Saccharomyces cerevisiae S288C: one gene and its partners. The gene in region 2 interacts genetically with the main gene of each other region. Each region holds a gene or a part of one and is shown on either strand. Other genes may lie near its edges.

The links. Genes that interact genetically often act in the same process or in processes that back each other up.
Region 1: mutations in FAA3 (region 2) and NAM2 together harm fitness less than expected from each alone (positive genetic interaction), as found in Saccharomyces cerevisiae (one large-scale study listed by BioGRID).
Region 3: mutations in FAA3 (region 2) and PCD1 together harm fitness less than expected from each alone (positive genetic interaction), as found in Saccharomyces cerevisiae (one large-scale study listed by BioGRID).

What each region holds. Positions count from the first base shown.
Region 1 is NC_001144.5:880,874-886,358, reverse strand, and holds NAM2 (leucine--tRNA ligase NAM2), read left to right. Parts: upstream 1-1,607; coding exon 1,608-4,292; downstream 4,293-5,485. Other genes in the region: DNA repair protein SMC6, read right to left, coding at 1-1,071; CTF3 (Ctf3p), read right to left, coding at 4,435-5,485. UniProt on the Saccharomyces cerevisiae protein: Catalyzes the attachment of leucine to tRNA(Leu) in the mitochondrion.
Region 2 is NC_001141.2:336,959-342,753, reverse strand, and holds FAA3 (long-chain fatty acid-CoA ligase FAA3), read right to left. Parts: upstream 3,411-5,795; coding exon 1,326-3,410; downstream 1-1,325. Other genes in the region: ubiquitin-related modifier URM1, read right to left, coding at 1-218. UniProt on the Saccharomyces cerevisiae protein: Activates endogenous long-chain fatty acids (LCFA) by esterification of the fatty acids into metabolically active CoA-thioesters for subsequent degradation or incorporation into phospholipids.
Region 3 is NC_001144.5:440,522-444,591, reverse strand, and holds PCD1 (8-oxo-dGTP diphosphatase), read left to right. Parts: upstream 1-1,854; coding exon 1,855-2,877; downstream 2,878-4,070. Other genes in the region: YLR152C (uncharacterized protein), read left to right, coding at 1-1,634; STM1 (Stm1p), read right to left, coding at 3,304-4,070. UniProt on the Saccharomyces cerevisiae protein: Diphosphatase (pyrophosphatase) with specificity for coenzyme A and CoA derivatives. Catalyzes the hydrolysis of the diphosphate linkage in CoA to give 3',5'-ADP and 4'-phosphopantetheine. Prefers oxidized CoA disulfide (CoASSCoA) over CoA as a substrate.

The DNA.
Region 1 (5,485 bases), on a different chromosome or scaffold from region 2:
ATCAGATGTATATCTTTCAATCTTTTCTTGCCTATTCCTAATTTTCTCAGTAACTTCATCAACTTTCTGTTGAATGCCACTGATTTCATTCTCTAAATTTTTACAAGCATCTGTATTATGGGCAACATCGATCCATAACGATTTCGCTTGCAAAAGCATTTTCCTTTCGTTCAAGTCTGAAGTCTGATTTAATTCCCTTAACAGTTTTTTGGCATCTTCGTATTCAGCTTTCAAAGACTTCAAATTCTCCAGGTGCAGAGCCATATTTTCTTGTGCACTATCGTGAATAGCACTGGCGTAAAGCAAATTCTCGGTAATTTCTTGAAGTAAAGTACCCTTCATAAAATGGCTATACTTATCCTGTGAGGTACTAGCAGTTAAGAAAGACCTAGCAGCGTCTTGTGACAGGAAACACATGGGGTTGCTTACAGGAACAGAAAAATAGTCCACTACCGTCTGAATATCCTTTTTCTTATTGCTAATTTCCTTGCCGTTTTCCGACCTTAAACTAAAAGAAGCGGGCCCATCTCTCTTAATTATCCTTTCTACTATAATTTCGTTACCAAAAATACCTTGCTGATAAGCACCATACTTGCTATTATCCAGATGAAGGATGATTTTAGCAGAATAACAACCTTCACGAATCAAATCCTTCAAAGAGGAACCTCTGTTAGTCTCGCTAGCCTTGGCTCCCAAACCAATAGTAATGGCGGTCAAAATTGCACTTTTACCACTACCATTATTACCAACAATAAAATTCAGCCTAGAACCAAGCTCAAGTTCAAAATGTTCATGGCACATAAAGTTTCGCAAGATCACTTTCTTAATATATCCTGAAGGTGACTCTTCCAAAAAGTTATCTTGATCCGCCGTGGCCACGTCAGAGGAGCTCCTAAACCCGCTGTCTTCATCTAGTGTATTGCTGTTAAACTGTGTCATGGGGGCAAATTGATGACGTCTGCGTTTTCTCTGCTGCTGCTGCTCTTCGTTTTCCTGCTGCGCAGTCAGTGAAAGTAGCTCATCATCAACCTGCTCTATAGGTCTTTTACCACTAATCGTAGTCGAAATCATACCATTTAGCAATCTAACAAGAATATGCTCTTTATTATTATTAACAGCAGCTACTTATCTCTTGCGAACCTATATGCCTCTTGTCTTTTTTTCTTATTATGAACTTCACTACATGAAATATAAATATTCATGTTGATAGATCCAAACATTGAAATTTAGTATACGCGACGCGTTTTTGGCAAGTTTAACTTAGAATTTTCACTATAAAACAGAAATTTTGATAAAACTTGGATGAAAATGTTCCTTTTGCCTAACTATCAAATACCACAGAAAAATCTTTAATACCATGCCATACTACTCCTGGTCTGTTCATGAACTTGCTTGACATTTCCCTACCTCTGACACACTTTTTGATCCAAGAATCTCATTTCTTATCTCCGCGAAGAATCAAAGAAACCGAAGAAAGTCGTTTTGTTGCTCCGGTGGAGAATCAAGAACTTGGAGGAAGGAGCACAGCAGAGTGTTAAACAAGGCGCTAGTACTCTATATTGTAGAGTCTGTACGTGAATAAATCGACGTGTGTGTACGGTGGAAAAATGCTGTCTCGACCTTCAAGCCGATTCCTATCCACTAAAAGGGGCCCTGGACCTGCAGTGAAAAAATTAATTGCAATTGGGGAGAAATGGAAACAGAAGACAACCCGTGGCTTGCCTAAGCAGGATACTCTGAATAGCGGGTCGAAATATATTCTGTGCCAGTTTCCATATCCTTCTGGGGCGCTTCACATAGGACATCTCCGAGTTTATGTCATTAGCGACTCTTTGAATAGATTTTACAAACAAAAAGGGTACAACGTGATACATCCGATGGGATGGGATGCTTTTGGGTTACCTGCCGAGAACGCTGCTATAGAAAGAAGCATTAATCCGGCCATATGGACTAGGGACAATATTGCAAAAATGAAACAACAAATGCAAAGTATGCTGGCAAATTTTGATTGGGACAGAGAAATAACTACATGTGATCCCGAATACTATAAATTCACCCAATGGATTTTCTTAAAACTTTTTGAAAATGGCTTAGCTTATCGTAAAGAAGCAGAAATTAATTGGGATCCCGTTGATATGACAGTTTTGGCTAATGAACAAGTGGATGCCCAGGGCCGTTCTTGGAGATCAGGGGCTATTGTGGAAAAGAAGCAGCTAAAACAGTGGTTTTTGGGAATAACGAAATTCGCTCCTAAATTGAAAAAGCACTTGAACCAACTGAAGGACTGGCCTTCCAACGTGAAGCAAATGCAAAAAAATTGGATAGGCGAATCTGTGGGTGCAGAATTAGTGTTCAAAGTTGCGGACCCCAAATTTGAAAACTTGATTGTCTTTACAACAAGACCGGAAACTCTTTTTGCTGTACAGTATGTTGCTCTCGCATTAGACCACCCAATTGTACAAAAATACTGCGAGGAAATGCCGGATTTAAAAGAGTTTATACAGAAAAGTGATCAATTACCAAACGATACGAAGGAAGGATTTCAGTTACCTAACATAAAGGCCGTAAATCCCTTAACTAAAGAGGAAGTCCCCATATTTGCAGCTCCATATGTGGTCAGCAGCTATGGTTCAGCACCTAGTGCAGTAATGGGTTGTCCAGGACACGATAACCGAGATTTTGAGTTTTGGCAAACAAATTGTCCTGGTGAACATATCAAGACGTGCATAGCACCTTTTTTTGACGATGCTTCAAAAGTAACTGAACAGGAAAGACAAAGAATAATTGATACTGTCCCGTTCACATCTACTGACGGTGTCCTAACCAAAGAATGCGGAGAACACTCAGGAGTTCTCACTGTAGTGGCAAGGAAATCGATAATGGGGATGTTGAATAGCGAAGGACTGTCTAAGAGCGTCGTTAGATACAAAATTAGAGATTGGCTGATAAGTAGACAAAGATACTGGGGTACTCCAATACCCATCATTCACTGCGACAACTGTGGACCTGTCCCCGTTCCAGAAAGTGATCTACCTGTCAAGCTACCAGAACTTGAAGGCTTGGATACAAAAGGGAATCCGCTGTCCACAATCGATGAATTTGTAAATGTCGCCTGTCCTTCATGCGGGAGCCCTGCGAAAAGAGAAACTGACACCATGGATACTTTTATCGATAGTTCTTGGTATTATTTCAGATTCTTGGATCCCAAAAACACTTCAAAACCATTTGATCGTGAAATTGCAAGTAAAAATATGCCGGTTGATATTTATATTGGTGGAGTAGAACATGCTATCTTACACTTGTTATACTCAAGGTTTATTGCTAAATTTCTCGGATCTATCAATGCATGGAGCGACCCTGCTGGCATCTTCGAACCATTCAAAAAACTGGTGACACAAGGAATGGTTCAAGGGAAAACCTATGTTGACCCCGATTCTGGTAAATTTTTGAAGCCTGACGAGTTAACCTTTGTAAATGACTCTCCAGATGGCAACACAGTGATTATTAAATCAAATGGCAAGGTTCCGGTAGTCTCTTATGAAAAAATGTCGAAATCTAAATACAATGGTGCAGATCCAAATGAATGTATTTTAAGACATGGACCTGATGCTACGAGAGCACATATCCTCTTCCAAAGTCCAATTGCAGATGCCCTGAATTGGGATGAATCCAAGATTGTTGGTATAGAACGTTGGTTGCAGAAGGTTCTTCATTTGACCAAAAATATTCTCAGTCTCGAGAAGGATTTGGCAATAAGTAAAGACTACAAGACCCCGACCGACTTAAATGATGCAGAAGTGAAATTTCACAACGATTTCCAACGCTTCTTGAAATCAATTACGGAATCATTTGAAGTTAATCTATCGTTAAACACTGTAATATCTGATTATATGAAGCTAACCAATATTTTAGAAAGTGCATTGAAAAAAGGTGAAGTAAGGAATGAAATGATAGTACAGAATTTACAAAAGTTGGTAACCGTTATATATCCTGCTGTCCCGTCAATTTCAGAAGAAGCTGCAGAGATGATCAACTCCCAAATGGAATGGAACCAATACCGCTGGCCAGAAGTTGAGCGCACTACTGAGTCCAAATTCAAAAAGTTTCAAATTGTGGTAAATGGCAGAGTCAAATTCATGTACACGGCTGACAAAAACTTTTTGAAATTAGGTAGGGATGCTGTTATTGAAACTTTGATGAACTTACCGGAAGGGAGAATGTATTTGATGAATAAAAAAATCAAAAAATTTGTCATGAAATTCAATGTGATTAGTTTCTTATTCCACAAGTAATCATATGACGCCATGAATTTACCACTAGTGCTTGTAAATAGTTAAATATTAATGCCTTATAGATATAAATTGTCCAATCTCCTTTTTGGAAGTTATAATATATATATATATATATATATGTATATAAATGTGGATGCATATTCTAAGAATTTTGAACGCTATACTTTGAGAGACTCTTCAAATATGTAAACAAGAATGCTGCAATGTCTCTATATGGATTAGCAGTGTTACTCAAATGCATTAAAATCTTTACTCTCAAGTCGTGAATGTTATTAACGCCCTTTATCCAACCATGCTGGCCAATCTCATCATGATGAACTCGAAAGAAATTGTTAAACGTCTCTTCATTTATGATCCCACTGGTGAATTTTATTTTGGTATTTTCGGCCGTTTCCAGTCGTCTTAGAATAATAATACATATGTAGGATAGCGCTGGTATACCAGTTATCGTGAAAAATTTAGCGTTCTTGAAGTCTGCAGTTGGGATATAAAGATTCTCCAAAATCTGCTTAAAGAAATCTGGTGAGACTCCAAACAAACTTTTGGATGACAGAACTTTATTCCTGTAAAGATAATTTGTCAAATCCATGATATATTGGTTCTGCATCCGAACGAATTTGTTTGTTGACGGGTATTGCATCAATTTATTTTTCGTAGCAACCAAGTACCTGCACGCAGCTGATAATAGCAAAGGATCGTCCGAACTGAACACTTTATTCATGATGTCAGGGCCCACAATCAAATATTGGATCGCATAATCCGACTTCGTTTGTTTCGACAGTTGAGTTAAAATATCTAACGAGCTGATGAAAGCCATCGTAGAAAATCTGTTTGAAGTAGCATTGTTAAAGATTTTGTCCAAAGTTAGCAGGCTTTGCATGTCATGCAGTAGTGTCAACCCGAGTGCTATCAATTTATCATCTAAAACCCAGTTTGTAATCATTTGTAAAACGTAAAAACAAGTTTCAGAAAATGTGCAATTATTGTCGTGACCATCTCGTGTACTCCACATAAAAATACTGGCCATAAACTTAACGAAAAATTCCCTTGTACCACTGATTAGTTCAGGCTTCCATAATGGCAAGATTCCGCCACAAACCTTTTTCAACGTAAGCTCATCGAGTTTTAAGTATTTCAAATTACAAAACGTTTGAATAATGCGAGAAGACAGTTTATTATCCATTGAGGACACC
Region 2 (5,795 bases):
TCGGTGTCGTTGATTAATGTGATGATACCGGGTCTTATAGAATCATCTTCGATGAAGATACTAACGTCATTAGGGTTATTGATCATAGTAGATACAATGTGGTCAATCAAATCGCCCACTGTGACAGGATCTTCTTTGTCCATCTTAATTTTATGTACTCTTTGTTTTCCAAAAATAGCATCAAGTCCACCTAGAAACTCCACTTTCACGTTTACCATCCCGATTTTGCTATTAACCTATCTCGTTTTAGTATCAGAAATCAGTATTGTTTTCTGCTTTGGGAATTTTTGAGCTCTCCATACCGTCTGCCAGTAGTATTTCATTAGGTCGATGCGATGCCATTACTTTGTCGTTATATTTTTTCTGCCGAAGTGGGCGACAATGTAATTAAAAAAAAAAGTCTAAATAAGATTGAGAACTTGGGAAGGAACATAATCCGGTATGTGAAATCAATTGAATCTATCCTCTGTCTCGGTATAATATTATACAAGTTAGGAGAATAGTTATATATAAATATATGTGAACTTGTAGAACTGATGGCATTTGATGGCCGTCACATGGTACGCCACTAAAACCTTGATTAAGTAGATTAGATTAGACTAGCAAGTGTTGGTAACGTTTTGTAGGAAAGAGTCTCAAAGTACCCAGCGCCAACTTTTGCTAAAGTCAATCATAAAATATATGTTTTTAAAATATGTAGGTATGCCGTGCATTTTTATTCTTTTTTAATGTTTAGCTTTCAAAAAAGCTAAAATAAACCATAAGCGTTATTCTTATTATATTGATAGTAGAAGAGGAAGAGTGGTTATCTTTACTCAAATTAACGATTGCTTTTATTTCTTACATTAAGGTCGAAACTATTTGCTACTATGAAAGCCAAGCAGAAACAAACAAGACCTTATTAAGATTGATGTTTCAAGCTATGCATTCCCAATTCAGAAGAACAAGGGAAGAGCATAAGACGGCTATCTGCATTTAACAGTAGTGGTCACTCCTACAGTAGTCATACTTCTCAAGCCTACTTTCGGTATGGCTTTTAAAGTCATAAAATAACGAATAGTTCGTATACCGCTCATGTGGCAAACTCAATAGCAAAATGTGATTTCATATCACGAAGTTTTTTATATTTTTTAATTATACAATTGTAATTTGTATTACGGAAATGAAACATGTTTGTATGTTATGTAGTATATCAATAATTGATTTACCGCATCTGTAAAAGAGAACCATTTATCACGCACATAGTTTTAGTATTCACTAATCGGTGCTCTATGGAAGTACGAGACACCGTGCATAGATGGAAGGGGAAGGTAATAAGCTTCTCTCTAAGAATTTTCTTTGTAAACCCTTTCGACTTCTGATTTAACAGCGGCTAAGATTTCTCTTCTCTTTAATTTTTGAGCAGATGTGACAAAGCCATTTTCAGGTGTCCATTCTTCATCAAAGAAAACAATACCACATAATAGTTCAATACCAACCAAACCTTGAGATTTGGCTGTTGCGATCATCTCTTTGAAAACAGCATTTCGTAATGCTTTGTCATGGATATAGTTTTCGATGTCTTCACCCTTTTTCATAATACGCAATTTGACAGCAAATTTAGATAGGGGTCCTGGGTTGGGTACCACAATACCCACCGGTTTAACCCTACTTTCATCGGCATAAACACAGATATTTTTCACATAGGAGTTTGACCTGTAAACAGATTCTAACTTTTCTAATGCAATATATTCACCATTTAGGGTTTTAACCAAATTCTTTCTTCTATCAATAATTTTAAGTTGTCCCTTGGGAGTCCATTCAACAATATCACCAGTACGAAACCATCCATCGTAAGTGAAAGAGACCGCCGTTTCTATTGGATTCTTATAATATTCAGAACAGACCGGCGCACCCTTTAGAAGCAATTCACCTTGATTGTTTTTTGCATAATAACCTAGGTCCTTAACATCCACCAATTTGGCAGTGACCGATCCAACAAGATCACCAACTATACCATATTCGAAATGATCAGGCTCCAAAACACAAGCATTCGCAACTGTTTCAGTAAGGCCGTAACCGATAATCATAGGACACAGGACGATAGAAAAGAATTTCTGAGCATCAATACTGATCGCAGACCCACCGTTCATAATATACTTAAGATGACCACCGGTGGCTTGTCTGACTTTCTTGAAGACCATACGACTTAAAAACCCGGTGCATGGTACACTCTTTTCTTTCATACTATAGGCAGACCAAAAAATCTTTTGGAGTACGGGAGTTAAATCGCTGATCTTTTCCAAAATAGCTTTTCTCACAGTTTCCCAAACGGCAGCCACACCGATCATAATAGTAGGCTTAAACTCAACCAGGTCACCCTTACAATTACGAGTCGAAGTATTAGTCAAAGTCTTAACACTACCGTACCCAAGAATACCGTTCCAGTAAAAGGCTTCGAATTCAAAGACCAGTTCAAAAATATGAGCCAATGGCAAGAACGACAAAACACGGTCTGTAGAGCCGATCCATCCAAAGACGTTGTGACCTACACCAGCGATACCCGAAACAATATTATAATGAGTCAATACTACACCTTTTGGTGCACTGATCGAGCCCGAGGTGTACATGATACAAGCCAAATCTTTTGGCTCAGGTGGATGAAGTTTGACCTCATCTTTACTTTTTTTACCTATCTTGACAACTTCTTCAAAACTATAAATTTTTATGTCTGGCCTAACTTCTCTGATCTTATTAATGGCATCCTTAGCAGCCTTGTAAAGTTTGCCGTTTTGTCTTCTGTCATTGGGGTCGATAGGTTCGTTATGGATAAGAAATTTGATATCTTTAGCAGATTGCAAAGGCACTATCATTTTAGCCAATAATTGATTATCAGTGAAAATAGCAGCAGACTCGGTTTCAACCATGGAGTGAATCAAACCGCTCTCACCCAAAGTATCATACGCGGTTACTACGGGGATACCCTGGGATATGCAACCAAGGAAAATCTTCATCCATTTATGGGAAGTAGATGCGAAGATGTGGAATTTGTGTTCTCCATTGGGCTTGATGCCTATTTTTGCCAGCCCACGGCCCATATCGTGCATCACCCAGATCAGTTCCTGGTAGGTCATCATTTTATATGGTGACATTTCATAATACAGCCATGTCTTTTCTATAGATTTATCCTTGCCGTCTACCTTTCTCACAATGGTTTTCTTTGTCTCATGAATCTCGATGACATCTCTCCAAGCCATACCATCTCGTTTTCCACCCTTGTTGAAACACTCTAGGGCAAATTCATACAGCGTAGATGCTGACGAGTTCAATGGTCTAATTAAGGGCCGCTTCTTGACTCTAACATTTCTCCTAGGGGCAGTCTCGTGCTCATTAGCAGCTTTACCGACTGCGACAGAGTGTTGTTCGGACATTGATGTATGCTCATGTCAGCTTCAGGAAGAGAGGGAAAGTGATAAAGTGTTAATACGCTAGTCTCGCTTTTATGCATGCAGAAAGCAAATAGCAAAAAAAAAAAAAAAAAAAAAAAAAGAGGAAGAATGTCAGTTATGTTGCGGGTTAAGTCTATTTCGATTGGAGTTCGGGGAAAGATCGTTTAGAGAACTGAAATATATGGTTTTGCAACTTCGCTCGATGCTGTCGTGCGAGAATCTAAGAGAGAAACAGAATAGCCAAGGCTTCTGCCACTTTTAACTTTAAAGCTTTGAGATAACGAAAAGTTCACTCGATGTTCTTTTTTTTTAGGATTTTCGATTGTCGGTTCTGTAATTGATGTTGTGCTTGGTTAGTTTGGGTCGGCCATTTCATCTGTAGCCTTAAGCTTCTGCATTACTTTCAGTGGCCGTAGAAAGCTTTTACCTGAAAAAGTATATTACCAAAAACTGCTGGTATCATGCGTCTGAAATCTCCAAAATTTCGCCTTGACAAAGACCGTAGCCTATTTTTACGCTTTCCGATTCTTGACGAAAGGCACAACTATGAATTTTACTTCGTAAGTTTCTGACACTCAGAGGTCGCAATAATCACTTGGGTGCAATACGCTAGGTAGGACCTCTAGCGAAAGAAAAAGTGGTCCAATAAAGATTTCTCTTTCGTATCTTCATTCCGACAAGTGGTTAGCTGTAGTGATAAAAGTGGTCATAGCATTCCAGTTTCCAAACGGGGACAAAAATCTGATGGGTGGTTGCTTCGCTTGCTATACGTTAGTTAAGGTATCATTAATGTCATTATTTTTGTTTTTTATCCTGGTTTAGTTATCTGTAATGGTGGGATCACTAAAATGCAAAGGAAATTCCAGATATAAAAAAAATTTCTTGTCTTATTTATTTAGTTTACGTACCCTTCCAAATGGGTGCTTGCCTGTAAACAATGATGGTTCGTTCCGGTAAACTTTTGGCGCTCTATTGTTGAGCTATTTCTAATATTTTGTTGGGCGTTTGATATTATATGATGATTTAGTCTGGGCGTTGGCGTCAGCGCCTTAGATGTAGTGTTTTCAAAGCAGAGCTGCAGTGAAGAAAGAAAAAAAAAATGCTTATTATGGCATAGTACATCGTTAGGGGAGAGTAAAAACAATCATCTACGATGGTCCGGGTATTTAACGAAATCTGAGCAGAACCCTTTTAAGGGCGTCGGTCGTTCCTTGGATAGATCATGCTATGTATAGAATCATCTTAAGGGTTAAGTTATTCGTTTGTTTACCTCTTTCCTTCCATCGGGATTACTAAGATCTCAAGATTCTTTAAAGGCGCTGATTTGATCTTAAATCGGACTTTACTGGTACCTGACATGTCCTTTTCTTGCTAGTCACCGTTTATTCTTAATCAAGAATGTCACCAATTTTCTGCGATAATCCAAAACAAAAAAGCGTTTAGCGTAGCTTTTTGGAGGCTTCCGTTTTCTGATGAAAGTGATACTGTTGGCTAGAAAGAGCATGCTAAGAATCCTCCCATCGGGAGCCCTCCGAAGGGAATTAATGGCCTTGTATTGTCTTTAAATACGTCTGTGTTCGGTCCATAGATTATCTATTATTCATTATTTCACTACGCCTTCAAATCCTTGTGCTTTAGTTCCCCTAAAAATGATAGCCTTTGATTTCATTTTTTCACTCCGATTATTTTACGTCATGACCTAAAGGCCATGAATTATAACAAAACAGGTGATAACCGTGATCCTGTTATGCTAATGATCGAAGCGCTCCTGCCCCAGGACTGCGTATAATGCCTGTAATTTTTCAAGGAAAAGAGTGGTCCAAAACTATAACATAAGTTGAGTTCGTCACCAACCGTCCCTCGACGTGTTGATAGTGAGGATCATCAAATATACAAGGACCTCGTTACCTCCTTATATAGACGATGACTCGCGTGCCAAATAGAATTGACATCATCCCAGAAAATAAATTTGTTACGTAAGACAAAGAAATAAAATAAACGATAGATTTTTTGCAGAGGTCAGGGGATTTCTTCAATTGAATAAGGGCTTTTAAGCCGTCTCCTCTCTTTGATATTTTTTTTGTTTTCCTTTAGCACTTCGTGATGAATTTTTTGATGGGAGGGATGAAACAGGCAAAAATTACACTAGCATGAAAATAACGGCACGTTCCATGCTTCAAAGACAAAGGTTTGAACTTGGGCCAAATTGTGAGCAGCTGTTTTGAATTAATCAAACAGCTCATGGTTTTTCAGTTCTTTATGTTCGAACTGGGTTGTGGTCCATATCATGCCTCGCCTGCAACTTACGCATTAACCTTCATCACGGTATAGCGGAGGCAAAGATATATAACTTGCAAATTATTGAAA
Region 3 (4,070 bases), on a different chromosome or scaffold from region 2:
ATATTGTTTCCATGGAAAATGCGAAAGGTATATCAAATATGGTTGTTAACGCTATTTTGCCTTGTTTGACCTTCAACAAAATTGTGTCCAATATTTCATGGAGGGATATAAAGGAGATTGGAGTGATAATACTTTCAGCTTTTATCTTGTTTGTTTTAGGTGCCACGGGCGCCTTATTTACTACATTTGCTACGACTGTGCCCAAAAAATTCTTCTGGGGGCTCATATTTGCGGGTTTCTTTCCAAATATATCAGATTTACCTATTGCCTATATTCAGAGCATGGGTAACGGCTCCATTTTTACTGCTGAAGAAGCTGATAAAGGTGTTGCTTATTCCTGCATTTTTTTATTTATTCAAAGTTTCCTAATGATGAATTTTGGAATGTGGAGAGTGGTCGGACTTGATTTTAGAGATACAAAAGAACCAGATAGTGAGAATATTACTCCGTCAGTAAGTCCCGCTATCGACGATCGCAAACTTACTGAAATAACAAAGTTACCTAATATCACACGTCCTACAAATGCCTATCAATCGGAAGATGCGAGAAGTAATAGCGATTTGTCTTGTAACTCTATTACTACAAATGAAATGACACCGCAGGCATTCTACGAAGGTTTTACTGGCTACATCAAACCCTATAAAGAATCAAATGGTGCATCCCATAAATTTGAAAGTGACCTTCCGCATGCTGAAATATATAGGGTTTCCTCGACTTATTCAAGCCCAGGCGCATTGGAGTTCTCGCGAATAGATGGCAGTTCCCTCTCATATAGTCGTATATCAAAAAATAGCGATGGCAGAAGTTATAGAAGAAAAAGGAAAGCGGATATGAATGAGTTGATTTCCAAATACAGTGCCGCCGAAAAAATAAGGCAAGGTGAATTAGATTTATCAAGACCACTATCCTTGACTGAAGAAGTTGGAAGCAGGAACGCAAGTATTGGTAATGTGCACACTGGTTATACCGATGAAAGTTCCATCGAAGAAGAAAATTGCACTAATATGGCCACCGACGGGAGGGGTAGCCTCTCCTTCTTTATAGAGAGACACAATCTCAAATGGTTGCAGTACTTTATTATAAATTGCCTCAGGCCAGCATCTCTGGGGGCAATACTAGGAATAATATGTGCATTAATTCCCTGGGTTAAAGCATGCTTCGTAACGACATATGTTCACGTTCATAAGGCGCCTGATGGAGAACCTGTTCTGAATTTTTTAATGGATTTTACAGAGTATATTGGAAATGCATGTGTTCCATTGGGGCTTCTATTACTTGGCGGAACGTTGGCAAGATTAGAAATTAAGTCATTGCCACCTGGATTTATTAAATCCGCCTTATTGATGACATGCTTTCGATTAATTGTCATTCCTATTATTGGCGTCCTATGGGTAAATAAACTATATTCGATCGATTGGCTGGATACGGGCATAGGAAAATTTGACATGATATTAACGTGGTCCATGCCGAGTGCTACTGCTCAAGTATATTTCACAGCATTTTATACGCCAGCATGTGGTGATCACATTCAAATGAACTGTTTGTCCGTCTTATTTGTCATGCAGTATGCGATTCTTTTCATCACTGTGGCGTTTGTTGTTACATATACCTTAAAGGTCGATTTAAAAGTTTGATTATATCCCTAGGCGAATAGGTATATACAAGAGTAGCTTATTATCAACTTATATATTCTGTTTTTTCAAAAGTAGCGATGAATTCCAATCGCGTATTTATTCGTTGTATTTATTTTTTGGGGTAGGGTTGTGGGGGGGGATCCGCGTAAGTATATTTATAACAATTCAATAATAATATTGTAGATTTGAAGAGAATCACACATGTAACAGAAAAGCTGTAATGATATTAAGTCAGAGGAGGATGCTGAGTTCAAAGCAACTAATAGAGAACTTGATAAGATACAAATTTCATAAAACACCATATACTCGGAGCTCAATATGGCCTTTCAAAAGAAATTCGGCGGTAATAATACTATTATTCATTGGAATGAAAGGCGAACTACGAGTGCTTTTAACTAAACGTTCAAGAACATTGAGAAGCTTCTCAGGTGATGTTTCATTTCCTGGAGGTAAAGCTGATTATTTTCAAGAAACCTTTGAAAGCGTAGCCAGAAGAGAAGCTGAAGAGGAGATTGGGTTACCGCATGATCCTGAGGTCTTGCATAAGGAGTTCGGAATGAAATTAGACAATTTGGTCATGGATATGCCATGCTATTTATCAAGAACATTTTTAAGTGTTAAGCCAATGGTCTGTTTTCTTTACAAAGATAAATTAGAAAAACATGAGGATAAATACAAAGTTCCCTTAGATATCCGTAAGTTTTTTGGTAAGCTGAACCCTGGAGAAACATCTTCTTTGTTTTCTGTACCACTCAATGACTTAGTTATACATCTTCTTCCTGAAGCCGATGAGGATGTTAAGAGTTATCAAGCAGAATATTTTGAGCGGAAGGAGTATAAGCTTAATTGGGGTGGAATAAAATGGTTGATTATGCATTATCATTTTCACGTAGCAAATAATAACGAAATGCCATGGTTGCAAACCATAGAGGATTTATCAAGTTCAGACGAAGACGGTGTTGATGGAGGTATTTTCAGATTCAGGGATTTGTGGGGACTCACATGTAAAATATTATTCGACGTTTCATGTATAGCTAATGGACTAATGGACGAAAAGTTAAAAGGAGAACTAGGGCACGAAGATTTGATAGTTGGACTACATGACTATGGTAATCAGATGCAACCGAACGGAAGAAGTGAATGGGAGATAGGAATGATCAACGGCGACAGAAACTTAAAATATAGCGATGTGATACCTGAATACTACATGAAGCACCTGCTGGAGTGCCGCTCGCTTTGGTAAAAAAAACTGTGGTATAATGCGTTGCCTAACAATACTCTCAAGAGATAATCAAGATGAGAGAAAAAGAATCATACTGGATGTCCTTAATCGATAACAAAAAGTTTTTAATGAAGAATGACTAATGATGAAATTGTTATACAAATACAAACAAACTACACGCTTGCACATCTCAGAAGTGAAAAAAAAAAAAAGAAAATTGAAAAGTAAATTAAAAGTCATTTATTTTTTATTGCTTAAATAAAACAAAATGATATGTCATATTCTCGATTGGATGTCAACCCAATTTTATTCTTTGGTTTGCCAGCATGATCATCTTCACTTGCAAATTATATAGTAAATAACCAATTAAAATAATAATAGTAATAGAAACAGAAAGTAGAACACTGTTATTGGATTCTTTCAGTTGGAATTATTCATATATAAGGCTTAAGCCAAAGATGGCAAGTTAGAAACGTCAATGTTACGGTTCTTTTGAACGGTGTTAGCAGAGTTAGTAGCGTTAGCAGTGTTGTTACCCTTTCTAGCGCCTCTACCACCACGACGGTTGTTGAAGTTGTTTCTGCTGTTGTTGTTTCTGTCACCGAAGTTCTTTCTAGTGTTAGATTCAACAAAAGTGGCATCAAATTCCAAGTACTCCTTGGTCTTCAATTGCTTAGATTTGACGTTCTTGACCTTGGTTGCTGGAACGTAAGCTTCCTTTTCAGCAGTTTCAATTCTTTCAGCGTCTAATTCAACCTTCTTAGCTTCTGGGACCTTGTTGAACTGGTTGTTAGCTTGTTGGTTCAAGTAGTCTTGCAAAGACAATTGAGCGGTCTTTGGCTTACCAGCGTCTTCAGCTTCTGCAGCGTCTTCAGCAATTTCAGCAGCAGCATCGGCTTGAGCTTCCTTTTCAGCACTCAATTCCTTCTTGTCATCACCCCAACCTTGGTTAACCTTCTTCTTGGTGTCAGTCTTACCAGTTCTAGAGTGGCGGTCAGTGGCCCTTCTGGTGTTGGACTTCTTGGTGGTGGCAGAGTCAGTGACATCCTTTGATCTGTTGTTTCTTCTACCAGCGGTCTTGTCTCTGATAGCACCCTCGTTACCAGAAGGTCTTGGTCTGTTCTTTCTAGCCTTGGATGGGTCAGCGGATGGAGGTGGGACGTCAGCCTTCTTGGAGGAAGTGTTGCTCTTGACGATTTCCTTTGGTGGCAAAA